2 linked regions of the Caenorhabditis elegans genome follow. The protein of the gene in region 2 interacts with the protein of the main gene of each other region in a pairwise test. Each region holds a gene or a part of one and is shown on either strand. Other genes may lie near its edges.

Region 1 (8,698 bases), on a different chromosome or scaffold from region 2:
CTCACCACAGGCAGGCATAGATATAGGTTTAGGTATAGGTATAGGTATAGGTATAGGTATAGGTATAGGTATAGGTGTAGGTATAGGTATAGGTATAGGTATAGGTATAGGTATAGGTATAGGTATAGGTATAGGTATAGGTATAGGTATAGGTATAGGTATAGGTATAGGTATAGGTATAGGTATAGGTATAGGCATAGGTATAGGTGTATGTATATGTCACTCACTTGCGCGAGAGTTCAACGACCGTTTCTTTGATTTTCGCAAAATTGAAAAATCATAATTAGTTTAGAAATTTTTTTTAATTTTCAACAGCTTATTGCAGTATATTTCCTGTCATTTAGAGCAAAAAAATAGGCGAAATTCAAAAAAAAAATCATAAAAACATAGAAAATTGCATTACAGAAATTCGAGAATTTTTTTTTCAAAATTCGTCACTTTGTTTCACAATTCTAGTTTTATTATTCCCATGATTGACACCTCATCCTCGACAGAAAAAAATATATATACATTTGAAAATAATTGTAGTGTGACTATTTTGAATTTTCACTTCATGGCAACAACAGTAATTACTCACGGGGAACACATGTCAGATCCTTTTTTTTGCTTCTCTGCGTCTCTTTCTCTCTAGAAGCTTCCTGTTCTTTTTTTTTGTGATCTGCTGGATTTTTTCTTTTATTTCTCTGAAAAATTTTGCAATTCTTTATAGGTTGTTGGCAAATTTTTTACTTGAGTTGTAGATTTTTGAACTCTGATTTTGGCATTTTTTTAATAAATAAATTAAAGTTCTTTAGTTTTAAATTTATTTATATTTTTTTTATTTGTGTCTGAGAATTTTGAACTATAAGAAAAAATTTAAGGAATTTAAAATAATTCCAATAATAAATTTTTTTACTTTCGACTTTTTCTGTATTATTTCAAAATAATTTTTTTTACTCTGAAATATATATTGAAAAATCTACAGTATTTAGAAACAAAAATTACGCAAAAATCAAAAAATAAAAAATTTTCCGAAATTCAAAAAAAAAATTTAAAAATCAATTTTTTTCTAATTTTTAAAATTTAATCCTCTATTTTATAGAACTTAAAATAATCGATGTGATAACAAATTCATTGTTTGAAGTTTTTTTTTCCAAAATAAAAAAATCACAAAAGTTTTTACAAAATTTAATTCTTAAAATCCAGGAAAAGAGGGTTTTTTTCTTTTTTTTTCAGTTTCAGAATTTCATCTCACCATCTATTCCTCTCATCCTCCAACTCCCCACAAAACTAGGGCGGAGCTTCATCCATTTTGACCGTCTGCGTCCCTTCGAAACCCCGCCCCTTTTCCCTCGGGCATGTGTTTGCCCCCACCGACTTTTCGGCTTTTTCTCCCTGACTTTTCTCCTCGAAAAAAAATTTCAAAAAAATTTTTTTGGAACAAAAACCGTTTTTTTTTTCTTTTTCCCTCTGCGCCTCTTGATCTCTTATCAGCTGATGAAAAATGAAAGAAATGATAAGAAATAAAAAGGTTTTTTTTTGCAGTTCGTCGGTCGTCTCTTCAACTTCTTCAAAGTTTTGTCCCAAATTTTTATCTTTGTCCAAAAAAAAACTACCGATGGGCGGCCGGAGCAACTCAGCCACCACAGCCGCCCAACAAAATGCAGTGCTCCGAATCGTTGTCGTCGGCGGTGGAGGTGTCGGGAAATCGGCGTTGACCATACAGTTTATACAGGTTTGTTTTATTTTTTTATATTTTTAAGTTGAAAAAATATTTTTAAAATGTGGAAATGGGGGTAGAAGTGGTAGAAAGGGATAAAAAATAAATCCAACCAGATTTGACAGCCCATAACTTTGTTCATTTTTAAGATAAAAATAAACTTTTAACTACAAAATTATAGAAAATTAAATGAATAATACTGCTCTAGTGAAAATATTTTTGATAACTAATGAAAGAACTGAGATATCAATTGTCAAAGTTGAGCAAGCTCGGTGTAGTAGACAAAATAAACTCAACCAGGTTCGGCACCCATATCTTTGTTAATTTTCAAGATAAAAGTAAATCTTTAGATTCAAAATTATAGAAAATTAAAAAATTAATATTTTGTTAGTTGAAAATTTTTTAATAAAACTTAAGAGAACTGAGATATGGCCTGGCAAACTTAGGGGAAATCTTGAGTTTCAAAAAAAAAATTGTTTTTTTTTTTTTTGAAAAATCGAAAAGCAGAATTGCTTTTTAATAGATTATTTAAAATAGTTTAATTTTAATTAAATTCAAAACTTTTTTTAAAGGGTCTTTGATTGGAAAATCTAAATTTTAAAAAAAAGTCTAAAAACTAATTTTAAAAAGTTAAAATTAAAAAAAAAATTTTTGAATTTTTGGAAGTTGTCTAGAACTTCAAGTATTATATTTTAGGTATTTTCCAAAACTTTGTAAATTAAAATTTTTACTTTTTTTTTGATGGAGTTTGAATTTATGGGCATTTTTCATTTCTATACTTAATCAATTTGCGCATAATTTTTTTTTCAAATTTCCCGGGATCCTCCTCCAAAAAATGTTGTTCCCATAATTTATGTTAACATTTATTGTGGTTTTGTTAGTGTGATGACCTTCACGTCTTCTTGTCTCTGAATCCAATTCACGATTCAATTCGACCACACACATACACACGGCCCCAAACATACATACATACAGAGAGAGATACAAAAGAAATAGGGGGTACAAACAAAAGATGATTAGGGGGTCTCTTTAGGCTGACAGAGAAAAGGTGTGTGCGCGAATGGCAGCAGCAGCAGCCAGGCGGTAACATGATAATGAGTTAGGTAGGTTAAGAAGTGACATTGATTTTTATAGGTTTACAGACAACTGGGTGGCATTAGGGGTACTGTAGGGGGTACTGTAGGGGTACTGTAGAGGTACTGTAGGGGTACTGTAGAGGTACTGTAGTGGTAGATATTTTTTTATAATTTTTAGAGCACCAAAATTACTGAATTCTTAGCACACGTCAGATTTTTCGTATAAAATTCGAAATAATTCAATTTTATGTTATTTCACTAGAATTTCTGGAACAAAAAAGAATAATTTCGGTCAAAGTTTTTGTTCAATTTGTGGCTTGTGCAGCAAATTCGGCAAATTTTCCGCACACCCACGCTTTCAACGTTCTTTGATAAACGAGCAATTAGTGTTGTCAATTTACAAGCCCCTAGTTTTATGGTTCATGGGCTCTGCGATATGGTGCATCGAGTTATTGGGTAATATGTTCTACTTTGATCCTCTAATGTTTTCCTGCGTCTCTCACTATCTCCCCAATAACACGTTCACCGCTTTCCTCAATAAAATCACAAAGAACACTGCATATTGCAACAGATCAGGAGAGAGGAGAAAAAAATTTCGTTCCGCATAAAAGGGAATACGAAAAAAATTTGTACGAAATGCAGTCATGACTTCACGGAAGGAGTAAGAGAGTGAAACTACCTGAGTCATTGAAAACGGCGAACAATTTTTTTTTGGGGATCTTACTTTTTCTATTTTTAGGCCTGTAATGATCATTCCACACCTTTAAATTTAGACGGAAAAAAGTGTGCTCTCAAATTACACGTTGTCCTATCTCGCCCTATAGTTCTTCTTTCTCTTCCCATCTCGCGACCTTTTGTAAGCTTTTGCCTCTTCGTCGCTCCGTTTTCTTCCCGAAAATAATCCTTTTTCAATGTTTGTACGAGGGTGAGCGCAAAGGCGTGAGTCTCATGTGAGTGTCTTGTCGTTCTTGTCGAAAAAAGGAGGGGAAAAAACTTTTGGGAGAGAGAGAGATGGAAAACACAGTACTACTTTTGTGTTTGTGTGTGTGTCCCCTTTTTCACACATGTGTATATACTAGTACCGTTTTCTCGAGCACACACACAGAGTCGAGAGGGAGGGGAGCAGCTCTTGAAGTTTGGTGGGAACGGCTCGGGAAATGGGATATTGGGACTTGAAAATTCGAAATCAGCGGCTTTAGAAACCTCAATGGGGGTCGAACCTGGGACCTTCTGCTTGGAAACCAGCAGGCTTACCGACTGAGCTAGGCGTCGTGGCTCAGTCGGTAAGCGGTTGGGCTATGAAGCAAAAGGTCCCGGGTTCGGATCCCCGGAAGCTTTTAGTTTCAATGCTTTGGAAGATTCAATGCCCTTTGTTTCAGAGGTACTTTGTGCAGGACTACGACCCGACGATCGAAGACTCCTACACCAAACAATGTTTCGTCGACGAGGATCTTTGCAAACTGGAAAGTAAGTTCTTTCTGAGTTTTCTTTTCAGGACCTAATTTTGTTTAAAATTTTCAGTCCTTGACACTGCTGGACAGGAGGAGTTTTCCACGATGCGAGAGCAGTATTTGCGAACGGGGAGCGGTTTTTTAATTGTGTTTGCAGTTACTGACAGGAATAGGTGAGTTTTTTTTTGGGTGAAAAAATTGTAGAAAAATTTTTAATGCGAGAATGAAATGCTAAATATTTTCTTAATTGCCAAAATTTTCATAATTTTGTCCTCCGACCTGGCCTCCTTGCTCCAATGTTTGAGGATGCTCTTCGCGCGCACGGCGTTCGCGCTCCGATAAACTCCCGTTCAATCTCTGCGTCTCTGGGTCTCCACGAATCCCGTACTATCTCACAAGTGACATCTAAATCCTAAGTTCATAGCATCTATTTGGCCAAAAGAAAGAAGACATGCCGCGCAGGCAAAGGAGGCAGCAAACATTCCCTCAATAATGATGACATTTTTCGAAAAACATACATGCGAAAAGCATGAGGTTGGGGGATGGAGAATGAGGCCTTAGGCTGCTTTTAAGGCGGCCTACGCCTGCCACATATAAGACCGGCAGGTAGGTAGACGGGTACGTAAGTAGGCAGGCATATAAGTAGATAGGCGCACACAAATTAGGCAGCTTAGGCAGGCAGGCGGGTAGGTAGATAGGCAGGCAAACAGGCATGTAGGTAGATAGGCAGGCAGACTCGTAGGCATGCAGGAAGATCGGTAAGCACGTTAGTTGGTAGGTACGTAGGTAGGTAGCCAATTTTGTAAGCAGGCTTGGGCCAAGCAGGAAAGTAGGCATGTAGGAAGTCCTCTAGGCACGTTGGTAGGCAGTTATGTAGTCTGGCAGGCACTTAGGTAGGTAGGCACGCTATAGCCTTCCCCAATGGTTCCTTTGTGTGCCAAAAATCATGCTTTTGAAACATTGAAGCCATATGATTAATGGTCCCATACATTTCTCAAAAAGCAGCGGGAGAGAGCATCCGGGTGTAGGGGTCACGGGGCAGTTCATCATTCCACTGTTTCCTATTGGAATTCAAATTTTATGCGCCTTTAAATTTCGGCTGGACCCCGTTGCGCCTTCGGGAACTTTTGTGTACTCGTCATTCACCATCAACACCACCACCACAAAAAACAGGCGCCCCCCGAAATAAAATATTATGTTTACGCTGTTGGCGTGCCGGCACGACGGCTTCTGCTCCCTACCCGCAACACATCTTCTTTTTTCAGTTGTTGACACTTAGATCTCAAGAACCCAGAATATATTGGTCTAAAGCTATGAACGAGCGGGATATGGGTGAAGGGAACAAATTAGGGAGCGCTCCAATAATTTTTGGAAAAAAAAATCGGTTTTTGGCAAGTTCTGTAGCAGATGACATCCCGCGGGCTAACAAAGTTCTGCCAAAGTTTTGCAGTACCTGCGAGGTGTCGGCTGCGATATATTTATTTAAAAAAAAAACAGTAAAAATGGCATAACCATTTTCTTCATTAAACTCCGAAAGTTAGCACCGGACATCTCGCGCTCCCCCTCCCAATTTTTTGTCTGGACCAGTGAGGTGTCGGCTGCTCTAGCTTTGTACAGCTGCCGACATCTCACAAACCTGTAAGATGTCGGCTGCCCAACAATTCCTCAGAAAAACATCAAAAACGCTACCGCCACCAGTCACCCGTCTTTTAATAAATTTGGTCATAAAACCCCCGCGCGCGGGAACTATATAATTTTGTTCCAAGAGAACAGAACTGACCTTGGAACACTCGAAAAATATACTACTAAAAGCGGAATATCAAATGACTCATTTTATGATAGGTTAATCGGTTTTATGAGCGCCTCTTTCTAGTCATCTGTTTGGGAGAATTTTTTTTTTGAAAAAGTGTTGGGTTAGGGAATATTTCACAGAAATACTTTAAAGGTGCATATCTCTGTAGGTAGTCACGTTATTTGAAATTTGTAAACTGACAAAATATTGCTCATAAAATTTTCTACAATGTTATTTTAAATTTCTCAAATATCTAATTTGTCTGCCAAGATATGGCCGTTTTAAGTCGTGCTACCAAATTTTAGAAAAACTTGTTGAAAAACATTTTAACTCCATAATTTTTCCAGTTTCGAAGAGGTCAAAAAGCTACACGAATTAATATGCCGAATCAAGGATCGAGATGATTTTCCAATTATACTAGTGGGCAATAAAGCAGATTTGGAAAATGAGAGACACGTAAGTTTTGAAAATTTTTTCAAAAAAATTTTCAAAAATTTGCTCAACTTCCCAACAAGATGTTCCAAGTACCCATTAGCTCCGATTTGACCCATACCCAAGGCCATAAAAATCGCAACATTTTTCACTGCCAAACGCGCACGACACTCTTCCTCTCCAGCTTTTTGCTTTTTGCTCGGAGAGCACAAGAAGTTGATTGAGAAAAATGGGGATCGGAGGCAAAAAATCGGCGGAAATAGGGTTTCCGAAAAAAGAAAAGGAGTTATGGGATTCCACCTGACATGTGTACGAAGTAGTATAGAAATTTTTTTTGAAACGAGAGTTTTTACTCCTTTGAAGATTTTTTGAGCCTAAAAACTATACAAAAAAGAAAATTGCGTGCGCGGGGTCGAACCAGCGACCTATTTCTTCACAGCCCACCTTCTTACCGATTGAGCCACGCGCACACCCTAAAACACAGCAATTTGCAGCGCATGGCTCAGTGGGTAAGAAGCTTGACTGGCAAGCAAAAGGTCACAGGTTCGAGCCCTTGAAGTGGCATATATGTTTTTCAACGTGTAAAGTTCAAATTTCAACTACCGAAATCGCTCAAAAAACCTCTACAATTTAGTTTGACCTCAAAACTAGTGCCAACTGTGTCAATATATACTTTTATGTAATTCAACATATATTTTTTATCGAAAACAAATATTGGAGGGTGTCTTTAGAACTTTCAAGAGAGCACTTGAAACATTGAAACATGCACAAAACACTCGAAACATATGTGTGTGTGAGTCTCACGAAAAACGTTTGCAATTCAAAACATCTGTGTCGGATTTCGCATTGAAGGGGTTTTAAAGTTTTAAAATTTTAAAATTTAAGCAGAGTTTTTTGGGCTCGAATCCATGGCTTCGGATTCAGTGGCGAGCCACTTACCGGCTGAGCCATGCGCGCTGCGCTGCATAGCTCAGCCGGTAAGAGGCTTGCCTTTGGAGCAAAAGGTCACGGTTCGACCCCCCAGAATGGCTATTAGGTTTTTTACACTGAATATGTTAAATTTCCCATAAAAAATTATCGAATAAAACCTCGAATTTCAGGTAGCCCGACATGAAGCCGAGGAGCTCGCACACCGACTCTCAATACCATATTTGGAGTGCTCGGCAAAAATTCGAAAAAATGTTGATGAAGCGTTTTTTGATATTGTGAGATTAGTCAGGTAAGAAATTTGAAAAAAATTAATTAAAAATCCCCAACTGGGGCTAGCGGGCTCGAACCCGCGACCCTTTGTCTCAAACCCCATCCTCTTACCGACTGAGCCATGCTCGAGTTTCAGATGAAACTTTTGCGTGCGTGGCTCAGTGGGTAAGAGGTTTGGCTGCTAAGCAGAAGGTCACAGGTTCGAGTTCTCGAGGTCGTTTATAGGTTTATAGGTTTTTCAACGCGCTGAGTTTGAATTTCATACTTAAAATCTCGAAATTTCAGAAAATACCAACATGACGAGCGCATGCCCATCCACCCCCATGACGATCGGAAGCTCGAATCACCGATCAAGCTGAAGAAGAAAAAGAATTGCAGGATTCAATAAACTCCAGAAACTCAATTAATCTATTCCAGTCCGATACGACATTCAACATTGGAAGATACTTCAAAAACCTTCAAAAAATGTGAATAGTCGAACCGGAGAGTCAATCCTTCATGACTTTCATACGATATACTGCACCCTCTTCTGAAAATTTTTAACTTGCTGCCTTTAAACTCCTTCTCTCCACTTCAAAACGGGATTTCTTTGGTTTTCTATTGCTTTTAAAATGTTTTTTTTTCCTCTGATTCTAGCCCCTTCTTGTACAGTTCCAACAAAATATTTATTCCATATCCTACCACCCTACCCGTTGTGCCCGTTATCCCGAGTACAAATCTCTCTCAAATTTCGACCAAAAATCTGATATGCGCTCTACTGATAGCCCTGTGAACCCATTTTCTTTTAGAGTAATAAAAAACGTGAGAATATTTATTTTTGTTCGACGACTGGTTGGGCGATTGCCTTGACGACTTGGACGGCTTCACGGGATGATGGTGAAGCTTGTACGGCCGAGTCTTTGAGCACCTTCTCGCGACTTGCACTTCTCGATCGAGATTTTCCGATCTGAAAATGTTTACTTCAGTTCAAGGACTCGAACCAGTGGCCTTCTGTTTGCAAGTCAAGCTCGTTACCCACTGAGCCATGCCGACAATTTTTTGCGGTGCT
Region 2 (5,992 bases):
ATTCTTTTTGAACAATCTTTACTTTTCTTATTTTCTAACTACCACCTGTCCATCTTTTCTTTGTCCTTTGATGAGTTGTGTCACTTTACAATCGACACCTGCCAAGGCCAATAGCTCAAAAGAAGCAGTATTCTTCCAAAAACAGGACCTCCAATTCAATCTCATTATGCCTCATAAACATTTCAATTTCCTTTTACGAAAAACTTTTTTATCTCGTTTCCAAACCGTTTCGCTCTATAGTTGTCCGGTCACGCGGACACTGATTTGGCACTGAGAATGTAAATGGATTTGTGTCAGTGACGGGTTTTTGTAAAATCTATACCGGATTGGTATCGTTTTGTGAATGTACCCTTTGAAACCAAGATGTCATTTTTAAACATGGCCAACATCTTGCAAATTTTCTATAAGAAGCTCCTTTTGAATTTCAATATTATCACACTCTATAATATATTAATGTAACCAATATATCTCTAACTCTTGAGCACCGGAAATTCAAATACATTGCACTTCCAGAAAGGCTTCCTAATATCGTCATTTGGTAGCCTTTTTTTCCAAAATAGAATAATGTGAACATGATCACTTCCGCACCTTTTCATATAAAATTGCACAACTTTTAAAATTGAAGACCCCATTTGAAATAAGTTTCCAATAATACTAGCAAAATTGGAACTTTCATGGTAGGCAAAATCGTCTTCAGTGAGTGCCTGCCTCATGCCTACCGACGCTTATTTCCTGCACGGTTATTAGGACAGTAGGCACATATATGAGATATGAGACAGGGAGTCGGTTTTAGTTTTTAAGTTGATGGGGTCAGCTTGTTTTTTTTATTTATTCGAAAGTTTTATTCTAATTGTAAATTGAATAGTTTTCATATTCAAAGTGTATAGATTTTAATCCATTTATGAATCATTAAAAAAATTGTTGCATATTTTTGCAAGTTTTTCATTCTAAAATCATGCTTCAACATTTTGCATCGTTCTTCATTGCGTAACCCAGACGAAGCCCCAAAAAACTCCTTTTTTCTTCTGGGATTATTCACTGTCACCTTCTTAAAAACGGCGCCTTCGATTATTTCCAGCTTATCCGATTTCACTTCTCATAAGTACTTCTACCTTCAGTTTCTTCATTTTTTTTGTTTTTTGAATCCCTTCAGACTTTTCCCTAGTGTTTTTTCATATTGATTCTGTACATCAACTCGTCTCTAATCGAATCAGGCGGATAGATCAAGGAATGTGGGCATGAGGGAGAATAGTATGCCAAAAATTAATTGAAACTCTCAATGTTCCGCCCACTTTTTGTTTAATGGAAGAAGTATCGCCAAAGTTAAAATCGAAAAAAAGTGTTTCAAGGTGAATAATGTCGTGGAAGCAACATTTGGGTTTTCGAAACGCTAGTTTGTACAACTATTGGTTAGAAAATCCAGAAACTTCAATTTCACTTTAAACGACAATATTTAATTTTTCTTCAGAGCTAGATCCATTGAAAGGACAGACAGCTGCAATATTAACGACGATAATAAATAAACAATAAAAATTGAGTTGCCCACGACAATTGTAGAAAATCGAAAAAATTAGGCTCTTGAAAATACGTCTGACTGTTTTCTTCCCATACCAAAACTTTTGAAATTATTTTTTGACAAAAAACCAGATTTTAGACAAATTCAGACAATGTTTTTTGTTTTTTTAAGTAAATTTCTTTGTTGGATTCAATGCAAAAATTTCAATACAATTTTCAATGCAAAAACTCAAAAAAGTTTTCACTGTTAGACTTTTAAAGGCAACCTTAAAAGTGACAAACTCAAGAAAAATCAATGTTATGCTCGGCCCAAATTATGTTTTTTTGGGTTTTTTGTTGGTTTTTTCTTGCACTTCTCGTAATTTTCTACTACAGGTACTTTACAAAAAAGTTTAGGACTAAAAATCCCACACTTTACAGGCCACATTCAGAAAAATGAATCTTTAGTCCATGTTCCATCTGATAGTATTTCCGACAACTTTCTCGAGACCTATCATCTTTTTTGTATTTCAAATGATCCTCCAAGATTCAATTGCTAACTTCCGGTCCATTACAGTTGTACAACTTTTTGATAAACATTTCATCTTTTTTGGCAACTAATTTGATGATAGTATTGTACTTGTATTTTACTCGTCTTACGTGTCTGATAACACCAATCAAATCTAAATAGCAATCTCCGACCGTAGGAACCAGTTGATTGACTCTTGCCTCGGAACTATCATTTTTCTTTCTTCTTCCGCTACCATTATATGTAATGATATCCTTATATTATCCATAATATATTCCTCATTTCCTCATTAGTGATCCAATTGAATGCGAACGCAAGTCGGTGAATAAAGAAAGAACAAATAAAACAAATATATTAATGATTTTCTCTTTATCCACATTCCCGGACACCGCGTGCCAAATCACTGATAATATCTCCATTTTCCTCTCTCCAGGCTACGGCTTGATCAAATACTTTTCTTCGTTTGAAAACGGTCATTCACACTCACTCACACACCCATATCGTTTACCCGTTTTGTGTATTGCCAACTACCGCACCCATATCTTCATACTTTTCCTCTTTTTCGCTTTTCCTGTTCGTATGTACATACCTTTGTACTATTTTCTTATACAAGGCTAACATTATTGAATTATACGGTTTTTTTTGTTTCAGAAAAAATGCTCAAGTACCAAGTGAAATCGTCCACTTTGACGTTGCGGCCTGCCAATCGGGCATCGAGAACGTCTTCGTCAAGTGAGTTTTTTTTGATTAAACTCGAGACCTACTTGAAGTGTTGCACTTATATTTCGTAAAATATGTTCATAATTTCTATTTGATATGAATGAATAATATTTGACTGCGTTTCCAGACGCTTGAACCCTTTTTAAGTGATTAAACTTTTCAGTAATGTAAAATCCTATAGGATCTTAAATGAGAGATTGAATTACCTACAATGACTAATTAATTCCCATGATAATAGATTTTTGGGTATTAAATACTTTTACGTAACACTAAGAAGATTTACAAAACTTTATTAACTTCTACTAGAATCATTTCCAATAGTTTACACAAGAAATTTAAATTTAACATTTTTTCTCGGATGTTTTACGTTTCTACAGTACTCAATGAAATCGATGAGATCAAGTTTACTTTTTCGAACGAAACTCAAACAATTGAGCTTTCAAAATTTGATCTTCCGAAGATCGCTTGCAAACATCAAACCTATTAAATAAAGTTTTAGGTTTGAACTAGATTTTAGTTGATTCTTTTTCAAAAAAATTTTGTTTTCAATTTTAGATTCATCCTCTCCTTGCTCAATTTCTATGCATTCTCTTCTTGATGATACTCTTCTCGGGATTCCAACAACTTCTCGAAGCAATTCACTTCTTTCCCTTAACTCAACTGATAGTAATATTTCGGATTCTTCAGATGTGGTGAGTAAAAAAACATCAGGCACCATTCAAATATATCATTCAATAATTTTGACTATTTTCAGGGAGTCCTAAAAGTTGATACGCGGAGTGTTAAACAATGTACCGATTACAAGACAATCCGAGTTACTAATTCAACAACAGCACGCCAAGTCGTTGAAAAATTTCTGACAACTCTCAAGCTCACTTGCCGAGATATAAACATGTTCGAACTTTGGATGGAGCTCACAACAAGAGCTTCGGGAGCTCCTGTTGTCACACTTCTAAAACTGGATCCTGAATCTCGACCATATGAACTTCAAAGATGCCATCCAATCGGAATGTCTCGTTTCATACTTCTTCAAAGTCCAACAGGATATCTCGTCAGAGTTCATGATCATAATATTTCTCCTCAATCTAACTACAAGTCATTGCTCCTTTCATCTCAAACAACAGTTCTTGAAGCTATTCATATTGTTCTCGGCTTAAATCGAAAATATGATGATATCTCAAAGTATGGACTATTCTTAGCAACACCTGGAGGAGATGCTCAAATTCCAGAAGATGTTTCATTAGTTTCTATTGCAAGACTTTGTCAACCGAATCAAAAAATCATTATCAGAAATGTTGATGTATTCTAATTTTTGCATGTACTCTGAACATTGGTACATATGTATTATATTTAATGCTTTAAATTCGTGGTATCTTATAAACATTTTTTAAATAACTCTTTGTCTCTTAATGAAAATCGTCGTTCAAAAAAAAGTTCCCTTCGAATTTTATAATCTACTAAAAAAAGGTAAAGGTTATTTGAACGCGATAGTGGTATACATTTCTCAAAAAGTGGCGAAAAATCAGTATTTTTTGTTTTAAATCTCTCATCAACTCAAATAAAATTTTATTAAACCGAGCAATGAAATATCAAAAGATATTATTGTTTTCTCATCCTGGCATTCTGGCATTTCGGAAAACATGCTCAAGAAAACATACATTGTCTTTAATCTAGTAGATCAGCAGTAGGTGCCTCGTATAACCAATTTATTTATTCTTAGAAAACTTGGATTCTTGAACCTTAAACTAATTTTATTGGCGTTACACCAAAAACTAATAAGTGATATGCTGTAGCTACAAACCCCAAGTAAAACATACATATTATTTCTGATTTTTGTTTTGTAAGATTAAGTTCCTTTTCGTTGTGATGAATTCATTCCAATATTTGATAGACTGTTATAGAATCAGATGTCTGGAAATATATGTAATTAAATTTCCAATTTCCTGTTGGTCGTATGATTTGATTTTTAACAACAAATTTACCTAGACGTTAGAAAAAGTTCAGATATTTATTTTTCTACGAAAGCTGAAAGTTAGCTATTACGTATTTAGTAAGATATATAAATTTCTGTTTAAAATATGGTTTCACATTGTTTTGAAATAGGTATGAATATTTAAACTAATTTTTTTATCAATTTTTTTAAACATCGGTTTTTTTTTTTAATTTTTGAACTTGTCGTTTACCGTTCGGGCAATTTGAGACTTTTATACCGATTTTCCAATAGCGAACCCATTTTCTTTTTAAAAACTGTTTCACAACTTTGGCAAGTTCAATTTTAAATGTTGTTCAAAAAATGGCAAACCCCCGATAAAAAACTGCGGAACACATGTAAATTGGACCATGACTACTACATCTTAATAATCTTGTTCTAGAAGTTAGAATTTGAAGAAAAAAGTGAATTTTAAAATTTGAGTTAGTACAGCCATGTGAATCTAATTGATGTTTCATCATCAATTCAACATTTATGTTTTTTTTTAATACAGTAGACCTTTCTGTTTTCTAACTGCTAATTTTTTTTTCGTCTGTTCCAATTTGGACGATCGCCCTTCAAATATTTACTTTTTTTTCCATTTTAATTGATCACACCAACTTTTCAGCTAAATCCAATCGCCATGACTATTATTGATGACATATTTTTCACAGTGGAGTCAACGGCAAGTTTAAGAATTGTCGCAGCCATTCTGCTTACCGTGGTACAAATTTCAGTTTCAGCAATTTATTCAGAAAAAAGTTTCAGACAAGTATAACGGGAACAATTTTCAATATTATTGTGCTATTCGCAATAATATTCCGAGTCAACAAAAAAGATGGATTTTTAAAGATTTGTTGCTTGAAAAGTTTTGGTAATAGTATTGTATGCATTGGATATCTTATTTGGCCCGTACCAGTTACGTTTCTGTTAGTTTCAAGACATTTTTCAATTTATCGAAAATCGATTTTTAATTTAGAAATGATTATTTCTTGCCTCACATGTTCAATGCTTTTATGGGTCAATTAGTTGGATGGTTTGCCTGGTGTATTGGGCCATTCTCGCAAGTATTACTGACTAGTAATCGGATATTTGCAGTATTTTTTCCTCACGTTTACAGTAGAAACTATCGTTATGCACCAAGCAGTGTAAAAGTAAAACTCTAGAGTTAAACTCATGTAATAATATTTTCAGTTTGGCATACTAATTTGCCTTACATTGGCATTTATTGTATTTATTGCATTTTTTCCTGGTAAGCTTGAAATGGACAATACGAAAAA

Evidence for each region. Proteins that work in one complex are often made in the same cells at the same time.
Region 1: the proteins of W05B10.4 (region 2) and ras-1 interact in a two-hybrid assay, tested with the Caenorhabditis elegans proteins (one large-scale study listed by BioGRID).

Annotation. Positions count from the first base shown.
Region 1 is NC_003280.10:12,345,050-12,353,747, reverse strand, and holds ras-1 (R-RAS related), read left to right. Parts: upstream 1-1,522; 5' UTR 1,523-1,597; coding exon 1,598-1,714; intron 1,715-4,040; exon of another isoform or gene 4,041-4,112; intron 4,113-4,154; coding exon 4,155-4,242; intron 4,243-4,296; coding exon 4,297-4,399; intron 4,400-6,365; coding exon 6,366-6,474; exon of another isoform or gene 6,475-6,564; intron 6,565-7,366; exon of another isoform or gene 7,367-7,449; intron 7,450-7,550; coding exon 7,551-7,669; intron 7,670-7,797; exon of another isoform or gene 7,798-7,868; intron 7,869-7,935; coding exon 7,936-8,038; 3' UTR 8,039-8,461; downstream 8,462-8,698. Other genes in the region: C44C11.6 (Transcriptional regulator), read right to left, coding at 8,462-8,596.
Region 2 is NC_003283.11:12,665,552-12,671,543, forward strand, and holds W05B10.4 (Ras-associating domain-containing protein), read left to right. Parts: upstream 1-2,674; 5' UTR 2,675-2,679; coding exon 2,680-2,755; intron 2,756-3,298; coding exon 3,299-3,435; intron 3,436-3,497; coding exon 3,498-4,052; 3' UTR 4,053-4,138; downstream 4,139-5,992. Other genes in the region: srx-116 (7TM GPCR serpentine receptor class x (Srx) domain-containing protein), read left to right, coding at 5,356-5,436, 5,481-5,641, 5,692-5,860, 5,907-5,964.